3 linked regions of the Nothobranchius furzeri genome follow. The protein of the gene in region 1 interacts with the protein of each later gene in a pairwise test. Links are inferred from orthologs where the notes say so. Each region holds a gene or a part of one and is shown in the gene's direction. Other genes may lie near its edges.

Region 1 (7,781 bases):
CATTATACTGATAACGAGTTCCAACAGGTGCCATTAATACAGGTAACGCGTGGAGGACAAGGAGCCTTCAGATCTGTGAGAGTCAGAAATCTTGCTTGTTTGTAGGAAACCAAACAGTAATTTTCCACAATTATTTTCATTTAAATTCTGTAAAAATCAGACAATGTGAATTTCTGGATATTTTTCTCATTTTGTCTCTCATGGTTGAGGTATACCTATGATGAAAATTACAGGCCACTCATCTTTTTAACTGGGAGAACTTGCACAACTGGAGGCTTTTCCCCATTGCTGCTTGCACCAATACCACTAGGTATTCTGTCTTCTTTTAACTTCATATGTTTTTTGTCATTATATCATTACTTGTGTTGTTGTTTGCGCCAGGGATGTGAAGAAACAGTTTTGACATTAAAGTGGAATTAAGTGAATTGGGAAGCAGAGCAGATCTCAGGATTCTCTTGTAGAACCAGCTTTCATTCATGATGCAGATGCTGTCCAGAACAAAAATAGGTCTGTTAGTCACAGTTATTCTGACTCATCCCTTCAGACCTAGACTTCTGGGAGAAAAACTGAACGCACATCTCCCTCTACATTTGCATTTAAAGCTATATGCCATTCAACTTTGTTTTCTCTGTTTAGCTTCTATAGAAACAACAACTTACCCAGCCTGTATCTCTTTCATGGGTGTTGCACCAGATGTTGCCTTGGTGACTCTGTAGGCCAGATGTAGACTCAAATTACAATATTTCAGCACTCATGGATAAAACATTTTGCTTCACATTTAAACCCTGTCTCCATCTATGACTCAACATGAAACACCATTGACTCATGTGATCAGTTACATAACGCTGTGTGTGCATCGTGCCAGCATCACACCAGCATCATGTCTGCACGCATGTAAATAAGAGTCACCAAAGAACATCTGTAGATCCATCATCAGGACCAAGTCCTAAATGATGAAGTCAATTAAATTGTGTTTAATTCAGTTTATTTATATGGCATCAAATTACAAGAAGAGTCGTCTCAAGGCACTTCACAAAGTAAACATTCTAAAGCGGTTCAGTTCATTAAGCCAATCAGTAAAAAGTTTCCTATATAAGGAACCTAGCAAATTGCATGGAGTCACTGACTGGTGTCAGTGACTTTACAGCAATCCTCATACTAAGCAAGTAGCGACAGTGGAAAACTCCCTTTTAACAAGAAAAACTTCCAGAGGATCCTGGCTCAGTAGGAATTGCCATCCGCCACGACTCACTGAGGATCGAGGAAACAGAGCAGACACCCCCCACACATACCAGGAAAAGTGCTCTTTATTTATTTATTTAGGACAGTGCATGTTAATGAACATAAATGTAAATGCAGCTTACATGAATGTAAACATGCCAGATTATAGCCAAAGGCTAATTTCCATCTGTTGTCCTTAGACATAAAAAGACATAATGATTCATGAAAATTCATCATTCATTCATAATCAAAACTCCATCACCAAACCTACGCCATTCTATTCACAAATAAAACATCAAAACTATACAACTCGTACATGATCACACACTTGATTTGTCCATAACCAGTTTTTAACATTTGCCTTTAAACAAATTGAAAGTCGAGCATTCTCTAACGGGTTGAGTGCCTGTTAAATAGTGACAGGCACCAAAGTAAAATGGTAAATGGCCTGTATTTGACATAGCACCTTCTAGAGTCCTGGAACCTCCCAAGGAGCTTGTTGTGGCCACCAGCCTGGCCTCTTCAGGTGCAGGAGCCAGGATCACCCAGCCTCGGTGATCAGCCAGGCACCGCCCCTCTTCCTCCTTTCTTCCAGGCTGCTGAGGAGCACAGCTGAGCTAAATCATCTGGTGACCTACACCTGGGATAAAAAGGCCGTGCCTTCAGCAGTCTGGGAGGCAGCAGTGCAGGGGCTAAGCTGTTATTCATGCCTCATTTTGGTTTCAACCCCTTCATTTTGATGAGTCTTAATTTTAATAGTTTTAACTCTGAGTGATCCAAAGGGATCTTTGTTTGATGTCAACTTGGTTGACTTGGTTTTAAGGTTAACGTTGTAGTTTACTGACTTTGGGATTTTAAAACACTCAGTGTTTTTCTAGTGTGTCAGATTTTACTATCAACTTGAAGATTTTGGAAACACTTTCTGTTCAGTAAAACTTTTAATATAAGTTTTAACCAGGTGTTTTTAATGTTGGTAATTGGTCTTTTAGTGTTAACCTTTTTGAGAGTTTTTTTTTTGTTTGGCATTTTTTAAACAATGCTCACCATCTGTTTGCACTTGTTTTTAGAACCTTTTATAACAATTAAACCCATTTTAAACCCACTATCATGTTTCTTGTGTTCCCCTTCCTTCACATTTTAACACCTCCTGTCGGGGACGTAACAGTGCTTTACAACACAGTCATGCTCACCCTGGTCTGGTCGATGAGCTACATTCTAGCCACAGCTGCCCTGGGGTACACTGACAGAGGCGAGGCTGTCGAGCGCTGGCGCTACTGGTCCATCCGACCACCATCAGCAAGCAAGGGGGGTTAAGTATCTTGCCCATGGACACAACAACAGCGACAGACTGAGTGGGGCTTGAACCTGCAACCTTCCGATTATGGGACGAGCACTTAACTCCTGTGCCAGTGTCACCCCATACAAAGAGTAAATACGTAGACACCTCATGGGATGGCGCTGCCTATTGGAGCTGCCGAAGTGGCCGGCTGCCATCTTAGTCTCCATTCGGCACACTACCAGAGGCGAGTCTGCCTCTGTCAGTGTGTCTGTCAGTGTAATTAAACAAAATAAATAAACAAATACAAATCTAAAATCCTATCAGGTAGGCTAGAAAAGTCACTATAGTAATCCCACATGATCTATTTACAATTGTACGCGGGTTGTTGTAACCGTGGGATGCACAAAAACGGGCATAGTTGCGTACTCTGCATTGCCTTCGGAGAATGAAGAGACCCATCCAAAATGGCGACGACACGGGTGGTTACGTATTCTTTTCACTCCTTTACATTTCCGGAAATAGGCCCTGAGCTGACACCAACGAAGAAGAGACTTCAAACATGGCGACTCCCATGCATAGAATAATAGCGAGAAGACAAGCGTGAGTAAAACATTTTTAAACTTAGCGTAGCAATATTATTTTAGTATATTTTGTGTCTACATTTGTTACGTTACCACGTGCGGTCTATAGCTGACCTACAGTTTTACATTCAGCCTGTAAAGAACGAACTTGGAGGGACGGGCATCCCGCGGCTCTACGAAGCGCTACGTTGTGTGAAACTGTACTCTTCTGAAGCTGTTATTTATTTTTATAATACCCCAGTTTAAGTAAAAAATAATTTTGTTTACATCGATGTTAATGTCAATATAGTTATAACCAATAGTCGGATCAAAGTATTGAGAAGAATCGGGACTTGGGCAGAGTTTTGATAATTTGTGATTATTGGTGGGGTTTCAGTTTCTTTGGTGGAACACCTGCGAGTTTCTGAGTTTAAAATGAAGTATTCATTACTAGTGTATTAATTATGAGATGGCTACATAAAGCTTCGTGTAGCTTCTCAACTATTTTCTTTGCCCAGAGGTTCACGTCTTCGATGCATCATTCATTGCTTATAGTGACACCTGCTGGTGGAGTTAAACTACGGCAGCCATCATTTTTTTCATAATTTATACTGGAATCATTTGTTCCATTCATTATTAATTTTAAGTAATCTGACAACAAATACATGTATGTGCAAATGTCTTACTTCTGTAGTTTATGTATTTTTTCCTGTTTGGAAGGTATTTATTTATTTTTATTGCTTACAGGGAGGCAAACAAACAAAATGTGCGTTGTCAGAAGTGCTTGGAGATGGGACACTGGACTTACGAGTGCACTGGGAAACGGAAATATTTGCACCGACCGTCAAGAACAACCGAAATGAAAAAGAAGCTGAAGGAGATAGAAAACAAACCTCTCAGCATCACAGGGTGAGTCATCTCTGACAGTTTGAAGGACAAGTCATTTACACCTGGACTTCATGTAGGGTTGGGCAATAAATCGAAAATGTATCGTTATTGAAATTTCTGACTCTTATCGATAAATGTTCCCATGTCATTAAATTTGATAATAAAAAAATGAAAAGATGTGTGTAGGTTGGCAAAATCCATGTCCCTTTAAGAAGCTGTGCAACCTTGAGTGACTTAAAAATTTGATTCAACGTAATACATGTGACAGCCCCATTTATGGACAACTTTTGTTTCTGCGCATACCAAGGTGAAATCCTCAATATATCGTGATATTGATTTTAGGCTAGATCGCCCAGCCTAACTGTGCATAAATAAACCCACAAAAAATGATAATTATAACTGAGAACTCAGTTTTTACAGTGAAATTAGATTTATAAATAATTCTTAAATTTTGACAGTGTTTCAAATGATCTCAAATAGAAGTTGAATTTGTTTAACTAAAATACATAAAAATACAAACAAATGATTTTATCAATAGTGACTGAACTATATATAATGTTGTGATTTTTCCACATCACAGACCTGGAGGAGAAGCTTCCAGTGAAAAGAAAACAAAAAAGAAGTAAGTAATCTGATAATTTACTAGGGATGTGTATTGGTGAAACTCTGATAATACGATACGTATCAAGATACAGGGGAGACAAATTCGATATATCACAATATATTGTGATACATTCAGCCAGATGATATTAGCATTTTTTTTTGACAGAATTTATTGTAGGGAAACTCAGTCCAGTCCAAACTGAAATGTAACATGTTCAATATAAGGTATCTTATAAAGAAGAAGAAAATATCATTTCTATAGCGCCTCTCAAGATAAAAATCACGAGGCGCTTCACAAAAACAAAAAATGTAAAAATATAAAAAATAATTTAGAAAATGGTTAAAAATATATTTAAAATGAGCAAAAAATAGACAATTGTGATTAAAAAAAATGTTAAGAAAGAGAGAGAGAGTGAATAGGAAAGAGGGAAATCAGTGCATCCTGAGGAAGGTGGAATAGAGAAAGGGATTTATATTTCAATGGTGGAAACAAAACCCATTGCACACTGCTGCTACCTAGTGGTCGGCGTTTGAATTGCACCAAAAGAAAAGAAAATACACAAATGTTTGCATGTAAATTCCATGTGGCTTTTAAAGATCGATACAATATTGCAGGAAAAAATATCACAATATATTGTCATATCGATATTTTCTTACATCCCTATAATTTACTATATTGAAATATTTTAAAGAAGTTTCATAGCTGTGGTGTGGTCATTTCTAGTCATTCATTTTTGGATGTAAAAGATTTTTTTATTCATAAAGATGATATTTTAATTCTTATGTTCATATTTCTCAACTTGTACCACTTTAAACAGAATTGTGACTTAACAGTTCCATCTAGTGGCAGTTGATGAGAAGTGAAACCATTTTCTTGGTTATTGTCTGTTTTTAGACAAGACTCTTAGTGAATTTACATTTGATTCTTGTTTCTTTTGTACTGTGATAGTAGAACAGCTTCACATTTTCCATCAGTTAAATTGTTGTTACAGATTAATTGGAAAGTCAATTAAAAAAGTAATTATAAAAAGATTTAAATGTATCTTAGCCTGTTTAACCCTAACGCCCCCCAATTGGGTGCCTCTACAGTTTCATGTCCCAAACATCTACAACTGTCCACGTTCTCCAAACACAACTAAAACCACAATCAAACAGCCCAGATGGGAAACAAGGCCATTTTAAATGGTAATAAATTAAGATACAACGATCTTTGAACTTTATTTTAGAAGAGCATCTGACCTTCTCTGGTGTCTGCTGGGAAAAAACCCTTGAACACATTTAGTTGAGGACCCTGGAATAAATAAAACAATTGACAACATTTCCTAAATGGAATTTGAACTCACAACCTCCATCCTGTCAGCACTTTCACACAGGGCAGCTCTTCTAACATACAGTTCAAGTATTATTTTATCTTAATGTATCAAAATCCAAAAATTACTTTGTTTACAATCTAAACAGTTTTGATAGTAGCTGTAGTTGTGCTCGGGGACTTGGGACATGGAACTCCAAAGGCCCCCAACTGGGAGGTGCCAGGGCCCAAAGAAAAAAGGCCTTGGGCCTAAAGGGTTAAAAACTGTTCAGTAAAAAGTACTTAAATTCAATTTTAATGTGTTTGCAATAAATGCTTTTTTTTTGTTGTTGCATCAACTGGTGTTTACATGTGTTTCAAATAAGCTATTATTGGCTAAAGAAGACACATAAATAAGGGTATTACTGCTAAATCTCCAATACATTTGTTTGAAAACATGTACTTTTGCAGAAAATCATCTCATATGATCTCAGAGACAGGACAGCTGCAAAGAACCAACATTTCAGACATTTTTTGTTATTTTACGAATGTGAAAATCTTTTTGTCACTATGTTTGTGCAAGATGACACCCACAGCTGCCTGTTTAACATTCCAGTAGATGTATCAATCAATCAATCAATCAAAGCTTTATTTATAAAGCGCCTTCCGCAACCCTGTCAGGAAGCCCAAAGCGCTGAACATGGTACAGTTGTAAGTAATTATACTGAATAAATCAACAATAAAAGAAATTCAAATTACAAAATACAAAATGGAAATAACAAAATAGATGAAACATTCCGGTAAAATACAAATGTGTGAAACACAATTGGATTGAGTGGATGGATTGAGTGTACCAATGAAAACTGTGGAATGGATTCAACATAATAGAGGGCCATAATCAAACATGTTCTGGAAACGCCAAGTGGAGGAGGTGTGTTTTTAGGTGATTCTTAAAGACTGGCAGAGAGGGGGACAGCCTAACTGAGGGTGGCAACTGGTTCCAGAGTAACGGTGCTAGGACTGAGAAAGCCCGGTCCCCACGGGTACGACACCTAGACCGAGGGACAGCAAGCAGGCCTTGGTCAGAGGAGCGCAGAGCGCGTGATGGGGAATGTCTGTTCAGGAGTGTGGCCAGATAGGGGGGAGCACCACCCTGGAAGAAATGATAAACAAAGACGAGGATTTTGAATTGTGAGCGATAGGAAATCGGAAGCCAGTGCAGGGAGGCCAGAACTGGACTGATGTGGTCCCGTTTCCTGGTCCCAGTCAGGAACCTGGCAGCGCTGTTCTGCACAACCTGTAGGCGACGCAGTGTTGACTGACACAACCCTGCAAACAGGTTTACATTTTACTGCTCCCATCCTGTTCTCTCCTTGTGCCGCGCTTTTAGGGCAAAAGACTCCAGCGACGACAGCAGCAATGCCGACGGCTCCTCCAGCGACTCGTCAGACAGCAGCGACTCCTCCAGCTCATCTTCAGACGATAGCAGCAGCGACAGCGACGACAGCTCCTCCTCATCTTCCTCCTCCACCTCTTCGTCATCAAACAGCTCAGACTCGGGAAGCAGCAGCGATTCAGATCAAGGGCCTCCAAAGAAGAAGAGAAAGAAGAAATGAGCATGCTGGGAAGAGTTGGCTTTCTGTTTGCATCTTATTTTTCTGCGTTATTTTCCCCAAAAAGTCCTCAAGTGTTTTATTTTTTTCAGCTGGTTTATAAGGTTTGATTTAGTTGGACAACGATGGCAGATGAACAAGAGGCTGGTTTAAGCTGTGTTGTTCTGTTTTTCTAACTTCTTGTCTCTGTTTTGTTGACTGTGGCATTTTCTCAAGTTTCTTAAAGTATTTGCAATTAAAGAGGAAACTTTTAAAAAACAAATAGAACCAATGCAATTGTTCGAATACTTTAATGTATATTTAAGCTAATCCATATAATCACAAATGTA
Region 2 (7,781 bases), on another chromosome or scaffold:
GTCGTTATGCATACACATAACAAAATTTGGTTGGCAGCTCTCAGCTTAAAGGGCACCAAGACCACAAATAGAATGATAAAAACATGAAGAGTAAAACAAAAAAAGAACAATACATAACCTTCCTTTCAGGGAGCCATACACACACTCGTAACATGAGTAAAAGAAGCTGAATAATTTAAAAGATATAAAAGATAAATGTTGCACTGACTGACATTCTGATCGTACTGATCAACATGTTGATTGATATTATTGCACATAGAAGATTCAAGTGTGAAAAGGACAATAGCAGCATGAAAAAACAGGATCATTGTAAATTACAACCAAGCCATCATTGAAAGTCTAATAGTCTCATGGGTCTTTGGTTGGGAGTGTAGGTGTCTACAGGGTCACAGAGGTGGGGGAAGGATTACAGGAGGGGTGGGGTGGGAGGGGGGCAGATGGCTTTAACAGCTCTTTGGAAGAAGCTGTTCCTCAGCCTGGTGTTTGTGGCCTTGATATTCCTGTAACATTTCCTGGACGGTAGCGGCATAAACAGTTTGTGACCTGGATGGAAGGAATCAGCAGCGATACGGTTAGCCTTCCTTTGTAGTCGGATGGTATATACTGAGTCCAGATCTGGTAGCGGGCTCCCCACGATCCACTGAGCAGTTTTCACCACCCTGGCCAGGTCCTTTTTGTTCTGGACGGTACAGCTCCCATACCACACCGTCATACTGAGTGATAGGATGCTCTCAACCATGGCTCTGTAGAAGTTCTTAAGCAGTTGGGGGGAGAGACCGGCTCCCTTCAGTTTCCTAAGGTAGAAGAGTCTTTGTTGGGCCTTCTTTACCAGAAAGGAAGCGTTTAGTGACCAGGTTGGATCTGAGGTGATGTGGATGCCCAGGAATTTGATGTTGTCTACACGCTCTACTAGATCCCCCAAAATGAGTTGGGTTAAAGGCTGCTGATTTTGAAGCCATGATTGGTGTACTTAAGCTAAACTGGATAAAAGCTTCTTAGGTGTGTTCTTGCTGTGTCGTATCTCTTAATTCCATGCTGTAGTTCTTTTTTAAAACACATAGCAGTTTTTGTTTACCTGTTTTCCCGCTACGTTTTGTTTGCGGCTGAGGAAGTTTGCAGCCGCAAACGAAACGTAGTGGGAAAACAGGTAAACAAAAACTGCTCTGTGTTTTAAAAAAGAACTACAGCATGGAATTGGATAAAAGCTGTTTTAATACAACCACATTCTATGTGGTTCCACACACCAAAATATATATTTCCAAAAGGTTGGAGGATTAGAATTCCTGTTAAAATGTGACTTTGACATATCTAAATTACCAATCAAACTATCTGACTTCCATAAACAAATACTGCTCTAATGGAAAATGATATTCAGCCACAACTTTACACCACATAGCTCTACCTTGTGGAATAATAGAACCATTGTAATTAATAGGAAGACTATATTCAAAAAAGAATGGTATGACAAAAACATTTTACATGTGACAGATTTGATAGATAAAAATGGCAATTTGTTACAATTTGAATGTTTTGTCGAAAAATTTAATTTTAAAATTTAATAATCAAATCAGTAGAGCTGTTCCACTTCCTTTAAAATTCATGATTAAAAATACCTTGCTTAATTCGAATGTGGTGATTAAACTTCCTGAGTTGAAAATTGGCAAATTTAAATTAGGTGAACAAAAATGTAATAACAAAGTACTTGGAAGTATGTTAAAAATAAGTTATTCTATGATATTGAAAAATCAACAACAATAAAAATCACAGGAAAGGAAACTACATTAACAAAGCCATAGTGCAGCTATCTTAAATGGCCAATTGCACCCAAGTTGAAAGAAATTAAATTCAAAATAATACATAATATCTATCCTGCTGCCGAAACATTAAGAAAAAAGATTTAATTTTGAAGGGAATCAGTGTGTCTTTTGTATGACAGAATGTGAAACTATTGAGCACATTTTCTTCTCGTGTTCAGTAACAATTGGTTTTTGGGAGGATGTTTATCGATTATTAAATATTGAGAGAAATGATGTGTGGCTTAACAAATCTAAAGTGTTGATATACATGGATGCTCTTCCAAAAAAGATATCCAAAATGGTGAACATTATTTTCAACATGGGAAAATACCATATACATAAAACTGAATGGAAAAACAGCAAGTCTAACATTAACCATTTTAAAAATGAAATAAAACAATTTAAAACATCTCTAAAAGTATTATCAGAAAATAGCCAATCTATAACTGAGTTGTACGAAACAATGTCTGAGTTTCTTGTTGTTTAAATTACAGTCCAATGAATCAAACATGTTTGAAATATAATGTTGAAATATCAACCTCTGAACATTTTTTTGTTTGTTGATATGTTATTTTTATTTTAATTATTATTATCTTGCATCATAATTTATTTTATGGTATAGTGTCATGTGGTAATTGTTGCAAGTTCTAAATGAAATTTTTATTTTCCTCAAGTGAGGTCATTTGTATTTTCTATATTCTTCAGTACGTTGAATGTAGGTTACATTGTAAACTGAATGTATGTGAAATCGCAGATTGAAAATAAGGTAAAAAAAAAAATTAAATAAAAAAAAATTAATAATAAAACATACAAAAAAACCACTGGTAGGTGGCAGTAATGAGCACTTCCGGTTTAGATCGCGACGAAGAAGAGTGAAAACCGGAAATTACTGTTTCTCCCTTTCGACGAAGCTTAATAAACAAAACGAAGCAATATATAGCGAATATAAAGATCTGTCTTGGGCTTTGGGTCCATAGCTACGTTACGTAGAGAATAAATGGTTTGAATAAAACCCTGAAACTGTAGTAAAGTAAATACGGACTAGCATCCTCTGTACCCAAGCCGTTAGCTAGAGATGTTTATTTTAGTTCTTTCGGCCAAATAGCGCGCGACATGATGGCATGAAACCGCGGCGCTGTTACGACAGAAAAACTCATCTTCTAAAGGTAAGCTTGAATATCTAATCGGAGCACGTTAGTAACAAAAACGTTACTAAAAATCTGCATACATTTTTACACAAGTTCGCTGAATTTTAAGATGGGAGATAAAAAACGTGTTTATTGTAAAACCCATTTCCGACCGCTCTTAGTTAATCAACTTAACTAGTTTCTGTCTGAAATTTATTTTACTGAGTAAAACGAAACTTTTTTACGGTGTTGGTGTCGGGGTTCACTTGTGAGTAATCTTTCTTTCCCCCCACCTTGCCCTCGAGTCCTCTGAAGGTTGTGAGGAGCAGGTGAGCAGCGGTACTCGGTAAAACCTCCACAGCGTCACCGTCATGGCGTGGGCTCTGAAGCTGCCCCTCACGGATGAGGTGATCGAGTCCGGGCTGGCCCAAGACTTTGATGCCAGTCTCTCTGGTATCGGCCAGGAACTTGGTGCCGGAGCCTACAGTATGAGGTACACCCTGAGTTTGTTGTTTCTCCTTGTGGAGGGAATTAACGTGCGCTCTGCTAATCTGGATGCTCTAACTAAATTTTAGCCTATTAATTTATTGCCATTGTTGATATCAAGTGAATAATAAAAATCTTTCAGGTTAACGTGTAGGTTTTTGCATTCTTTCTGACATTTACTTGTTTGTGTAAGCTTTAGTCCATACGTTTAGGATTGAAATGGATTCTTCAGCTGTACGTTTGAATATCAGCCTTCTCTTACCCTGACTCTGACCTTTACTTTTGTGTTGAGCTCTTTTTCTTTGTGCCACTGGACAATATTTTTAGACGAGGGGCATCTTAAAACCTGGATCAGCTAAAATTGCTCACACATTATTAAATTGCTATGAATCACAGATGTGCACATACATCTACAGAACAAATGAATAGCTGTACGCGTTCACTGTTTGGTTCGATTACGATGGAACTGATTTATTCTAACTGCAGGATCTCTCAAAACATTAGCAAAGCTGATGATGTGGTGTATCTTATGTTTATGAGAGTGAATTAACTCCTTTTCTGGAGACAGATGTGTTTTTTGTGGTTTATTAAGAGCTATGAAACGTGTCTGGTCACTGGAGAAATTCCTGTGTTGAGGGGAGCTCTGACATGAGCACTGGAGACATTGGTATTTAGTTGTATTCCCTCCATTATAGTGAATGAGCAGCACAGTGTGTTGTGTTAGTGAAGGTCATCAAACAAGCAGAAAAAGGGGGATTTGGTTGTCTAAAGCTTTCTTGAATTTAAAGAGTTGAATGTTTCTCACTGAAGTGAAAAGATTTTAGCAGCTCACAGGCAGCACTTTTTTTACTGCTCTCTTCTCCAGCGACGTGCTCGCCCTCCCCATTTTCAAGCAGGAAGAATCCAACTTGCCTCCAGATTCTGAAAACAAGATCCTCCCTTTTCAGTATGTTCTGTGTGCACCTACCTCACCTGCTATTAAGCTACACGATGAAACCCTCACCTACCTCAACCAAGGTCAGTATCAGGATCCTCACCTTGCTACGTTTTTTTGACTTTGTGTAAAGTCAAGGTCCAAGAGAGGAGAGGTTCAGATCCTCACATGTCATTCTGTTTAGGATTGATCAGACAATTAAATCAACTTATTTCTTTTTTTTTCTTGCCTGAATGGATTTATGTAAAATTTTGTTTCCCTTTGATTTAAGTTAGTTTTAACAGTGAAACAATAAACTGAAAGTAATAGAAACTGGCTTTAATGTATATGAGCAAAGCAGTCAGTAAGTTAGAATAGAGCATCTGAATGTTTACCACATTATTCTTTTTACAGATTATGTTCTTTTATAAATAGCTATGTAGTTGTGCTTGATAACATAAAGATGCATGCCTTGCATGACTGAGGAGTGTGTCCGCGGTGTGTGACGGCCCTCTTGGAGGCGGGATCTTAATTTGAAGTTGTTTCTCTCTGCTAATGCAGGGCAGTCCTATGAAATAAGAATGCTTGACAATCAGAAAATTGGGGAACTTCCTGAAATCACTGGTAAAATGGTCAAGGTGGGAGTTATTTCAGTGTGTTTCTGTTGTTTAATGATTGCTGGACTAAATCATGTATATCACATATGTGTGTATACTCGTTTCAGAGTATTATCCGCGTGGTGTTTCACGATCGGCGGCTTCAGTACACGGAGCACCAGCAGCTGGAGGGCTGGCGCTGGAACAGGCCTGGAGACCGGATCCTTGACCTGGGTGAGCCCCGTGGAGAAAACGGCCGTTTTCATCTGGACTTTTAAAAGAATGATCTGCACGTTCACCATTGGCTGGTTTTATGATAAAAGCATGTTTATTAACAACATTGGTGATAAATTTGGTGCTCAAACAAGAACTTTTGGATCATTGCAGATATCCCCATGTCAGTGGGTATGATCGACCCCAGGGCCAACCCCACTCAGCTAAACACTGTGGAGTTCCTCTGGGATCCCTCAAAGAGAACCTCTGTTTTTATCCAGGTAGCATCAAAGTTGCAACTTTACTTTACTTTCTAACGCTTCCTTCTCTGGACTTCTGATTGATTTTAGTCTTTTAAAGGTAACTTAGTGAGTTTAACCAATTTAGTGCTGTTTTGGGAATAGTCTGGTCCAAGCTACCACAGGAGAGTTTACATCTTTAGTTTACTTCCAAAACTTACAGAAACTAGTTGTCATAAAAGGACCTTTACTGTAAACCCTCTGTTATTTGGCAACTAAGCGGTTTGTGTAGTCTGACAAGTGGTAAATGTCAATCTTTGTTTTCTTTGTTCGGGGCAGCAGTAGCTCAGGTGGTAGAGCGGGTTGCCTCATGATTGGAGGGTCATGGGTTCGATTCCAGCTCCTGCCAGGGGCATCCTGCTGCTGTGTCCTTGGGCAAGACACTTCACCCAACTTTCCTGTGTTAGTGGTGGTCAGAGAGGCAGACGGCGCCAAATGGCAGCCTCGCCTCTGTCAGACCTCCCCAGGGCGGCTGTGGCTACAAGTAGCTTACCATCACTAGCAGTGTGTGAATGTGAGAGTGTGTGATAGCGTCTCTGGGTGTCTAGAAAAGCGCTATATAAGTTCAATGTATTATTATTATTATTATTATTATTATTATTATTTGTTTTGTGGGTCTGAGGCTGGAAATGATCATCGTAATTAGTCAGAACTAGGGATGTAAGAAAATATCGATATGGCAATATATCGCGATATTTTTCCCAGCAATATTATATCGATATTCAAAAGCCGTGTATCGGAAATATCGATATGGCAAATATCATGATATTTTTTCTTGCGATTATTACATCAATATTCAAAAGTCGCGGATCTAATTCCTGAAAGAATTTACACCCAAACATTTGTGTATTTTCTTTTCGTTTTGCGCAATTCAGTCGCCACCCGCTAGTTGGCAGCAGTGTGCGACAGGTTTTGTTTCCACCACTGAAATGTAAATCCCTCCATCATGGTGCAGATACCTCATGTTAAACATGTTACGTATCAGTTTGGACTGTTTATTGAACATTCTTACAATAAATTCAGTAAAAAAATTGCTTGTAACGTCTGACTAAATGTATCGCAATATATCGGGATACATTGTATCATCTCCCCTGTATCGTGATATGTATCGTATCGTCAGAATTTCAAAAATACACATCCCTAGTCAGAACATGGTTTTACAAAACATCATTTTTTATTGGTTACGCTTAAAAAATTTGTCGGATTTAAGCCAATATTCCCCTATTTCTAGGTTCACTGCATCAGTACAGAGTTCACCATGCGTAAGCACGGGGGAGAGAAAGGCGTCCCGTTCCGCATCCAGATTGACACTTTTAAAGAGAATGAGAACGGAGAATACACGGAGCATCTGCACTCAGCCTCCTGCCAAGTCAAAGTCTTCAAGGTTAGGATGAAAGAAAGCATGAAACCAGACGTTGGGAGTGTTCACAACCGAGGATTTAATTTTCTCTGTGTGAACCGTTTCAGCCCAAAGGTGCAGACAGGAAACAGAAAACGGACAGAGAGAAGATGGAGAAGAGAGCCCCGCAGGAAAAGGAAAAGTACCAGTCTTCCTACGAAACTACAATTCTAACGGAGGTACGCTTTCTCTGAAGGTGCCGTAAGCTTCGATCGGCCTCATTCACTTGGTATTTTACTGGTGTAAGCAGCTCATGTGTGAAATGTCTACAACTATAATGATAAATACAAAACTTCCAGTTGTTATAGTAACTAGCTAATTAAGGAGCGGCCATTTTTGCACTTACAAAAAAACCATCAAACATTTAGCATCGTTGGCATTGAGAAGCCTTTTAAATCACACAGTGTGCAGTGCCTCTGACAGAGAGCCTCATTAGATGTAGATGCAGAAGGATACATCCCACTACAAACTAAATCTACCAATGTGATTTAATACAGAGATGGTCCTTGGAGCTGGTCCCTCAGGAACACCTCTAGGACCAATACCAGTACATACTGGGATCTGAATTATGTCATATGTTCAGACAGTCCTGCTCTGATGAAGATTTGCTTTATTATGTATGGTCCGCTGTGTCCCAGTCCTCTAAAATATCAGTAAATCAATTTTGTTTGATAATTCAGTAAAATCATTTGTTAATATTCAAACTGGTTTGATTTCACTAAGCTGTTATTCTCATACCTGACTGTTAGTCTGACTAAACGTAACCAGATGTAAAAAACTTCATTAAAACAACCCAGCATTGTCGTTTTATCCGAGATTTTTTTCCATAATAATTCAAACTAAAATGGTGTGGCCTGAAATCGGTTGCATTTCTCAAAGGACCAGTTAGAGCTGACAGTAATTGTGCTTTTGTTAAGTTCAGGTCATTTAGTGTAAAGTGAAGCTTTTACTA
Region 3 (7,689 bases), on another chromosome or scaffold:
CAAATGGTTAATAAATCTCATCTCACCTTTTTCTTCACTTTTGAATGTTTCATAAATAATGAGAACAGGGGGATGAAATTTAAGAAAAATCTGGCACTGCTGCACAGATTATGTTCATTTTAACCCAAACAGTAAAATTAAATTTTCACTAAATCTGCAACATGAAGTTTGAGAGTATTAAAGTAGACTTAATAATACTTTGCTGTGGAGAATCTGACTTCCACGTGACAAATAAATGTTAAACAAGTCTGATTTATTGTTATTTACTTTGATTTTTAACCTATGATGAAGTCAAATCTTGTCTGCAGAGTGTAAAACAGTGTTTTTCATGTGGTGGGTGTGGCCACTGCTGAAATACAGACTTTGCATGACTGACAGAGAAATATATATTTAACAAAATAAAGCGATAGGAAACAGAAAAACAGCATGATTAAATACCTTGTCATCTTTGGGAAGCCAAGATCTGCTTTGGCTACAGTATCCGTTGTCCAATGTACATGCTGGTGGCTGAGAAGCTCACAGACTTTCGGCAAAAAACCTGACTCCTCAAAATACTTGCAATGTCTTCCGCTGCGAGGAAAGCCTTCAACTTCCTGGATGATTCCAACAGATTTATTAGTTCAGGTCACATCAGAATAGTGGTTTAGATGAAGAGCCTGCAGAGAAAGGTGGATGAGGTGGATTATGTAATCTGGCAGAGGGGGAGCACGGTGAATATGTGCTACAATAAATCTTTCTTCAAACTGATCTCATTCAACCACACTTGGAAAAAGGAGAGATTACATCGGATGCCCTGCTACCTCAGAAAAAGTTCAACTTCAGAGCAAACTGTGGCTTTTTTGAAGTAGGAGGGTGTGTTTGGGTAGGCCTGTAGTTGATTCGCTATAATGTAAACAGTTGCCTCTCCCAAAACAAAGTCAGAAAACAACAAGCAATGGAAAATAGACTTAAATTAAATCCCACGGAGTCTGAAAAACGTCTAAATGCATGCGTTTAACAACATTACGGTATAAATATTGCAGCTAACGTGTAAGCTAACAGCTAAGCTAACAGGCTAAATCCACTTGGTACTCTGTTGTCGTGACAGCTGTCAGGAGCACTAAACACTCCCGATGCAAAACTCTAGTGTCTTAGCTACGGGTACAAGAAACGAGCGTTGCACGACATTGTTTAGCTAAAAACCTTCATGAAACTTATCCACACATTTCACTTATTAACAAATATTTGTTAGCTAACGTCAACATGTTGTGAACAATCTTTCTCTGCGTCAAGCTATGTGTTGACCACCAAGTTTAGAAGTCTTCGCTCTTTTTCGTTCGCTGGAAAATCAAGAGTTAGCTAGTTAGGACTACTAAATTAATACTAAATAAAATACGTAGAAAACGATCAACACTCTAATAACTAAAACGAATCATTACATAATCCAAATCACGAACTGGCACGGCGAGTCAGCACTCAAATGTTAGTCAACGTCTTCCAGTCGGACTTAAAAACAAAGGGGGCAATAACGCTTCATTTTACTACGCCTGGGTTCTTCTGGAGGCTAGCGTTCCCAGCTAGGCTAACTGGAGGGGCTAACTCAGTGATATTTACTTGTTCTAGAGTGTCCCACAAAGACAGAGGGATGTCCCGTTCCCGCTCCACACCTATCCAGCCGTCGCTTTGGTCTTTCTTCTGCTAATCCGCATAGCATTCAATGGTATTCCGACAAACATAACGACCCGTGTAATCCCCAATTCACAGTTACCCTCTGTTTTTTTCTTACAAATTCCGAGAAAAAAATAATGGAGTTTTGTTTTGCGCAGGCGCACTGAGCACGTAAGGAATATTGTACCCAACATGCAACGAGACATTTGTAGTGTTCCAGTCAGACGTCAATCCACAGGGGGCGCTGTTTGGTGGACAGGACATAACAGAATAATATTCCGTAAACAACTAATAAATACACAAACAAATAAATGTATTATATTTGTGTACAACGTTTTAACCTCTACATCAACAAAATACACCTTTGTAAAAAAGTATTCTGAGTTGGAGTTAATACTGGGCTGACAGCTCAAAAATATTTTGTATATAAACAGAGGAAAAACTTTATAGGATTATTTGTTACAAATGAAATAAAACAACGAATAAAGATGCTTGCTAGAGTGGTTGAGTTACATGGCAGTTATTGTTTAAAAATCAATGTTTCTTTTATGTATTTATCCAGCTTTTGCAGCATCTACTAGCATTCAGAACAACTTGAACATATATATAAATAAAATAGTTTTTACAACTTTGAAAGAGATGTAGTCATTTTTGTTGTTTCTCCTTGGTCTCCCAAAAGAATGGAGGGATACAGGCCCATGAGCAGGACAGATACCTTTGTGTGTGTGTGCGTGCGTGCGTGCGTGCGTGCGTGTGTGTGTGTGTGTGTGTGTGTGTGTGTGTGTGTGTATGTGTGTGTGTGTGTGTGTGTGTGTGTGTGTGTGTGTGTGTGTGTGTGTGTGTGTGTGTGTGTGTGTGTGTAGAGAACATATCTGATTTCTCATCGTCACTGGTGCTTAGTTTGAGGTCCTTCAGCTGTTGCAAACTGTCAACGTCACAAAGCAGTGCTCAGCCTGTCATGCTCACAATTACACCCATAGATACACAAACTTACAGCTTTAATAAATATCTGGGTCGCACTCAGCATTCACGCCCAGTGTGGGAATAACCTGAAGGAAACACAGAGGGACCATACAGTACTGGATCCAGAAGTGCTGAAAAGTGAGGGAGCATTTTGGTCAGTTGGTAAGTCAAACTCTGCTTCAATGGCCACATAACACTTCAGAAAAATCTAGCAGGTGAAGGGAAGCATTTTTTTATTTACCTTTTCTGTGTAACCTCTAATAACTTGGTAAGTGATGGTGAAGTTTATGTGTAATTTTTAATTATGTCTCAAGTAGCAAAAATGCCTAATGGAATCGTTTTGTAGGAACGTTGTGTGAATGCTACATCCATTTAGCCCGTTATTTACTCATTTTTCCTGAAATTCTTTTATGCTGTCTGGAATATTTTCCTGACATGCAGCAGTTCCTAAATTTAGTTTTCAGATCAAATTTCAAAAACCAAGAATAGAGCAGGTCAGGATGACAAATGCTCTTTACCACTGTTTGCTACAAGGTATTAGCTCCGAATGTCACACAGAGAGAGACTAAAGACATGTTTTATGTCTCTGCTTGCTTTATAGTTAATAATTTGACCAGATCCTTGTCTGAAATAGTGAATTTCAACTATAGCAACAATTTCCCTTGTCATCCAGGAACGTGTTTGGTGCTTAAAAACAAACAAGTCCTTCAAAATGTAGGCAAATCAGAAAAGAAACATGCAATCCAAAAGATGTGGCCTTGTTTTGCATTTAGGAAAAACGAGCTACTGACAAACTGCAAGTGCATCTTGAGAAAAGACAGACAGTAAAATGTACATGATTTCTTTTAAGGGTGCAGTATACTGATATTTCCAGCACTCCATGGATCAGTGAGTACAGTTCATGTCCATGTGCTGCATGTTTCTAACATCTCTGTGGGTTTCACTAAATAAAATCTGAGCTCTAAATTTACCAGTGCGACTAAAATCAGGTTTGTTTGAGGTGATGAACGGGGAATCTTGTTGAAGCACATCATGGTTCTCCTCAATGTTCCTGGTTTAAGAGTTCACTCATCAAAAAGGTGTGTGTTTGGATTTATATGTAACTGGTCTGGATCCTGGAGCCCTATCACCAGCTGGTTGATGTTTGTGCATGATGGGAAAAGGTGCGATGTAAAAAAAAATGTCCTTCAAACTTTGAGCAGTTTTCACATTAACGTTTGCTGATAAATCTCCTCACATGATCCAGATGTTCCCTCTGCGATACGTTTTTACACCACAGTCATGGCAGGTGGCTTCAGTTGGTCTTCATCTTTCTCTTTGTGCTTCTTAGAGAGGATGACAAAAACTCCGTGGACATCCACGACAATCCTCCAGCCCCTGACAATGTAGTGAGGGAGGAAGGAGACACGGTGAGTGGCAGCACCACGTCAACCACTCGCTATTAGCAGCCGTTCTCAGGCTGATTAAAATAGCCTCCAGCTGGGACGGGACTGCAATATGGTGTTTGTTTATATCTCATGAGTTAATAAATAAGTCCTGATCACCTGTATGGAACTGTTCTCTTCTTCGTCTTTGCTTGCAGGTCTATTTTATTTATGAGGAGGAGGTGGAGGTAGAGGAGAAGGAACCAGAACCTCCTTCCGAGCCCATTGTTCGGATCAATGACAAACCTCACAAGTTTAAGGACCATTACTGCAAGAAACCCAAGTTCTGTGACGTCTGCGCTCGCATGATAGTCTGTACGTGTTTAACCCAGAAAATATCACGAGACATATTTTGAGATTTATGATGATTCGGTTAACTTTGCACATCTCTTAGTGAACAACAAATTTTGTCTGAGGTGTAAAAACTGCAAGACCAACATCCACCATTCGTGTCAGTCCTATGTCGAGTTCCAGAAGTGCTTTGGAAAAATCGTGAGTTTTCTCTCTCTCACACACATTTGAATTTAAATGTCTAAAAAAGCACTACAGGACTAAATGGAAGGTTTTAGTTGAAATTTTTTCTTTTTTTTTCTTTGTCTTGTAGCCACCTGGCTTTAGAAGAGCCTATAGTTCTCCTCTGTACAGCAGCGACATCCCAGATCCAAGTGAGTCCATCAAACCTTCAATCACTCCTAGAATTAGTAATCCTTTATTTATTACTGCTAAATCAGAGTAAAATAATTAAATTTTACGGTGAATTCTTTTAAGCAGATGTGTAAAATTAGTAGGGAGGTCGGAAATATCGACATCAACATCATATCGGCTGATGTTTGTTTTTTATCTGTGTATCGGTCCAATAAGTAAAACTTGGCTGATACTTTCTTCCATCTAGTTGCTATTGTTGTATCTTGGAGAGAGATGGTCATGCAGTGAATTTTTAATCATGTCAATCAGTCAATCAATCAATCATTGAGAGCAATCTACAATTTATAATGGTTAGAAGTGCCCAATGTTGAAAAATCTTCCTTACAAAGGTGTAATTATATTTTAGGGATGTCCGTTACTAACAGCTAATGTTGGCATTTAAGGTGCATTATGTAGAAATGAAGTAAATATGACAATCTGTGGTAAAATCTGGTTGCTGCAATCACTTTAAACAACTCTGGAGCTTTTTGCCGGCCGTAGTCAAATTACAACTATCGGCGCTGCAGTATTAGCTCGCAGGAGACACAACAACCCCACACTTGTCATGTTCTGCGGGTGGTGGGTTTCAGGAGGCAGATGAGCAGGCAACGGATGAAAAAATTAAAAGATGTTTAATCGTAGACTGGGAGCAACAGGACGAACGAACATGCACAAACGACAATGAACCGACAAAGACAGCAACAAGGAGGGAGGTATAAATACACAAGGGAATCAGGAACACATGGGCAGAGTAATGAGGGACAGGTGAGAACAATAAGGCTAATCAGGGCAGGAGAGACACAGTCAGGGAGGCCGGGGCGGATCATGACAACACTCACTGGTAGTAAACACTAGTTACGTCCATCTTTCCTTTGTTTTGAAATGAGATGAACTGACAATCCTCACAGCCAGCTGGATATGAAATGTGTTTAAATATAACCTTCCTTCTAAAATGACCAACACTTTTTGGATTTTCTCACTGTAGATTTTTCACTATATTTTTACATAGTGCACCTTTAAAATGTAATATCAGAAATAATGAGTTGATTTTCACTCTTTTAATGACACAACTTTTACATGCCATGTACATATTAAACATCAAATTCTTCAGCATGGTCTAATAATAGCCATTTAATATTAGCCCATTTTTTGTATCAGTGCATCCCTAAAAATTTGAGATAAAAAAATCTAATGTTTGTAATGCCTGGACTATAGCATTTTCTACAGATTATTCATTAAATAAAGCTTTATAATTGAAAGTGCTGATATTTTCTGGCCAAAATTTTCCATCCGACACCAGACAACCCAAACCGAAACGACCCAGTCTTTGACACACTGAGAGTTGGTGTCATCATGGCGAACAAGGAGCGCAAAAAGAATGAAAATGACAAGAAAAATGTGAGTATTTACGATGAGTTTCATCAATAAAAACACAATAAAACACATTTCAGAAACACATCATTGTGTAAAACAAACCCAACAAAGGTATGAAAGCACACATTTGAAAAATAATTGATTAAAGCAGATGCACTGCTCAAAATGACTTTAGGTAACTTCAGAATATTGTCAATAAATCACAACATTTATTCACTTATATGTGCTTTAGATGATGATGATGATGGAAGAGGAAGAGGAGGAGAACCAGCAGCCCAAAGAGAGTGAGGAAGCAGGAGAAGGTAAGAAAATGTACCTTGGTAAATTACACAATAATTGCTATTAGGCATAAATCTATGAAATTAGTTTTCTGCAAAGAAAAATGATGGCTGTTAATAAGTTTCACGAACGGACTTGGTGACTGTTCGCACAGGAAAACCCGAGGATAAGAAAGAAAAAGGAGGAGACAAAGCAGACGAGAAGGTCAAAGCAAACATTTCATAAGGATGCATTTTGTTTAAAATCTCCATAATCTGTCATTTTTGTCAACAGAGTAAGGGAACATTTACCGGGTCCCACTACTACCTGGCTCTCTACCGCTTCAAGGCAATCGAGAAAGACGATCTTGACTTCCAGTAGGATTAAAGGATAGAAATGACATCATAAAACAAAGCCTTTGTCTTGAATGTGTCTCAAACAAACATGATGTGTCTGTTTATTAGCCCTGGTGATCGGATCATAGTGCTGGATGACTCCAATGAAGAGTGGTGGAGGGTGAGTTACGGAAACACGCTGATTCCATACGTGTCCCGGCAGAAGATTAACTCAAACTGTCGGATTATCAGGGAAAGATGGGGGAGAAGACGGGCTACTTCCCTGCCAACTACCTCATAAAAGTACGAGCATCAGAGAGAGTCTACAAGGTGACCCGCTCCTTTGTTGGCAACAGAGAAATGGGACAAATTACGCTCAAGAAAGATCAGGTGACCTTCTAAATATACTCAACAACACACGTCGAATCAGTTTTGTTGGATTTGTTTTGCTTTTAAATGACAAGTTGGGTGAAGAATGTACCACTAAACTTATTTCTGTATTTTGTTGAAGACATCCAATGAAATGACTTTAATGAACCCAATCAAGGCTAAAAAATGCTAATAAAATTGTCTAAATGCTAAAATTCTCCATATGAGGCAACAAAATGCATCTTCCACTTACAGATGTTTGAAATCAACACTGGTGTCATGCTGCTCTGCTGTCACTCTCTTCCAGATTGTGGTGAAAAAAGGTGATGAGAAAGGAGGATATTTGAAGGTCAGCACAGGACGCAAGCTGGGCTACTTTCCTGCTGATCTGCTTGAGGAGATAACTGTGACATAAACACCTAAATATGCAACAACATAAATGGCTGAAACACATTTTAAGTGGTCAGACACCTGGACACACCTGGTCAAAAGATTCATGTTTGTTACCTAAAAATTATAAGTTACCTGTTGTGTTTTTGCTGTGAAATTAATTTTTTGCCTTTGACACACAGGGTGATGATTTTTAATAGTTTTATTAATATTTTAAATAAAATTGTAACGTTGTAATAGAATTT

What was found.
Region 2: the proteins of zcchc10 (region 1) and tfcp2 interact in binary tests that used the Homo sapiens proteins (3 or more experiments, as listed by UniProt). The two-hybrid records come from large-scale screens. The link is inferred for Nothobranchius furzeri from reciprocal best matches to the Homo sapiens genes ZCCHC10 and TFCP2.
Region 3: the proteins of zcchc10 (region 1) and stac3 interact in binary tests that used the Homo sapiens proteins (3 or more experiments, as listed by UniProt). The two-hybrid records come from large-scale screens. The link is inferred for Nothobranchius furzeri from reciprocal best matches to the Homo sapiens genes ZCCHC10 and STAC3.

Annotation. Positions count from the first base shown.
Region 1 is NC_091750.1:56,824,934-56,832,714, forward strand, and holds the start of zcchc10 (zinc finger CCHC domain-containing protein 10), read left to right. Parts: upstream 1-2,974; 5' UTR 2,975-3,059; coding exon 3,060-3,100; intron 3,101-3,807; coding exon 3,808-3,969; intron 3,970-4,528; coding exon 4,529-4,570; intron 4,571-7,229; coding exon 7,230-7,455; 3' UTR 7,456-7,781.
Region 2 is NC_091755.1:37,311,894-37,319,674, forward strand, and holds the start of tfcp2 (transcription factor CP2), read left to right. Parts: upstream 1-2,735; 5' UTR 2,736-2,962; intron 2,963-3,228; 5' UTR 3,229-3,294; coding exon 3,295-3,416; intron 3,417-4,274; coding exon 4,275-4,426; intron 4,427-4,883; coding exon 4,884-4,960; intron 4,961-5,046; coding exon 5,047-5,152; intron 5,153-5,305; coding exon 5,306-5,412; intron 5,413-6,661; coding exon 6,662-6,814; intron 6,815-6,897; coding exon 6,898-7,008; intron 7,009-7,781.
Region 3 is NC_091755.1:32,733,536-32,741,224, forward strand, and holds the start of stac3 (SH3 and cysteine-rich domain-containing protein 3), read left to right. Parts: upstream 1-2,573; 5' UTR 2,574-2,772; intron 2,773-3,460; 5' UTR 3,461-3,490; coding exon 3,491-3,498; intron 3,499-3,940; coding exon 3,941-4,019; intron 4,020-4,192; coding exon 4,193-4,349; intron 4,350-4,428; coding exon 4,429-4,526; intron 4,527-4,638; coding exon 4,639-4,699; intron 4,700-6,018; coding exon 6,019-6,116; intron 6,117-6,324; coding exon 6,325-6,394; intron 6,395-6,525; coding exon 6,526-6,575; intron 6,576-6,644; coding exon 6,645-6,727; intron 6,728-6,814; coding exon 6,815-6,866; intron 6,867-6,937; coding exon 6,938-7,075; intron 7,076-7,361; coding exon 7,362-7,469; 3' UTR 7,470-7,689. UniProt on the Homo sapiens protein: Required for normal excitation-contraction coupling in skeletal muscle and for normal muscle contraction in response to membrane depolarization. Required for normal Ca(2+) release from the sarcplasmic reticulum, which ultimately leads to muscle contraction.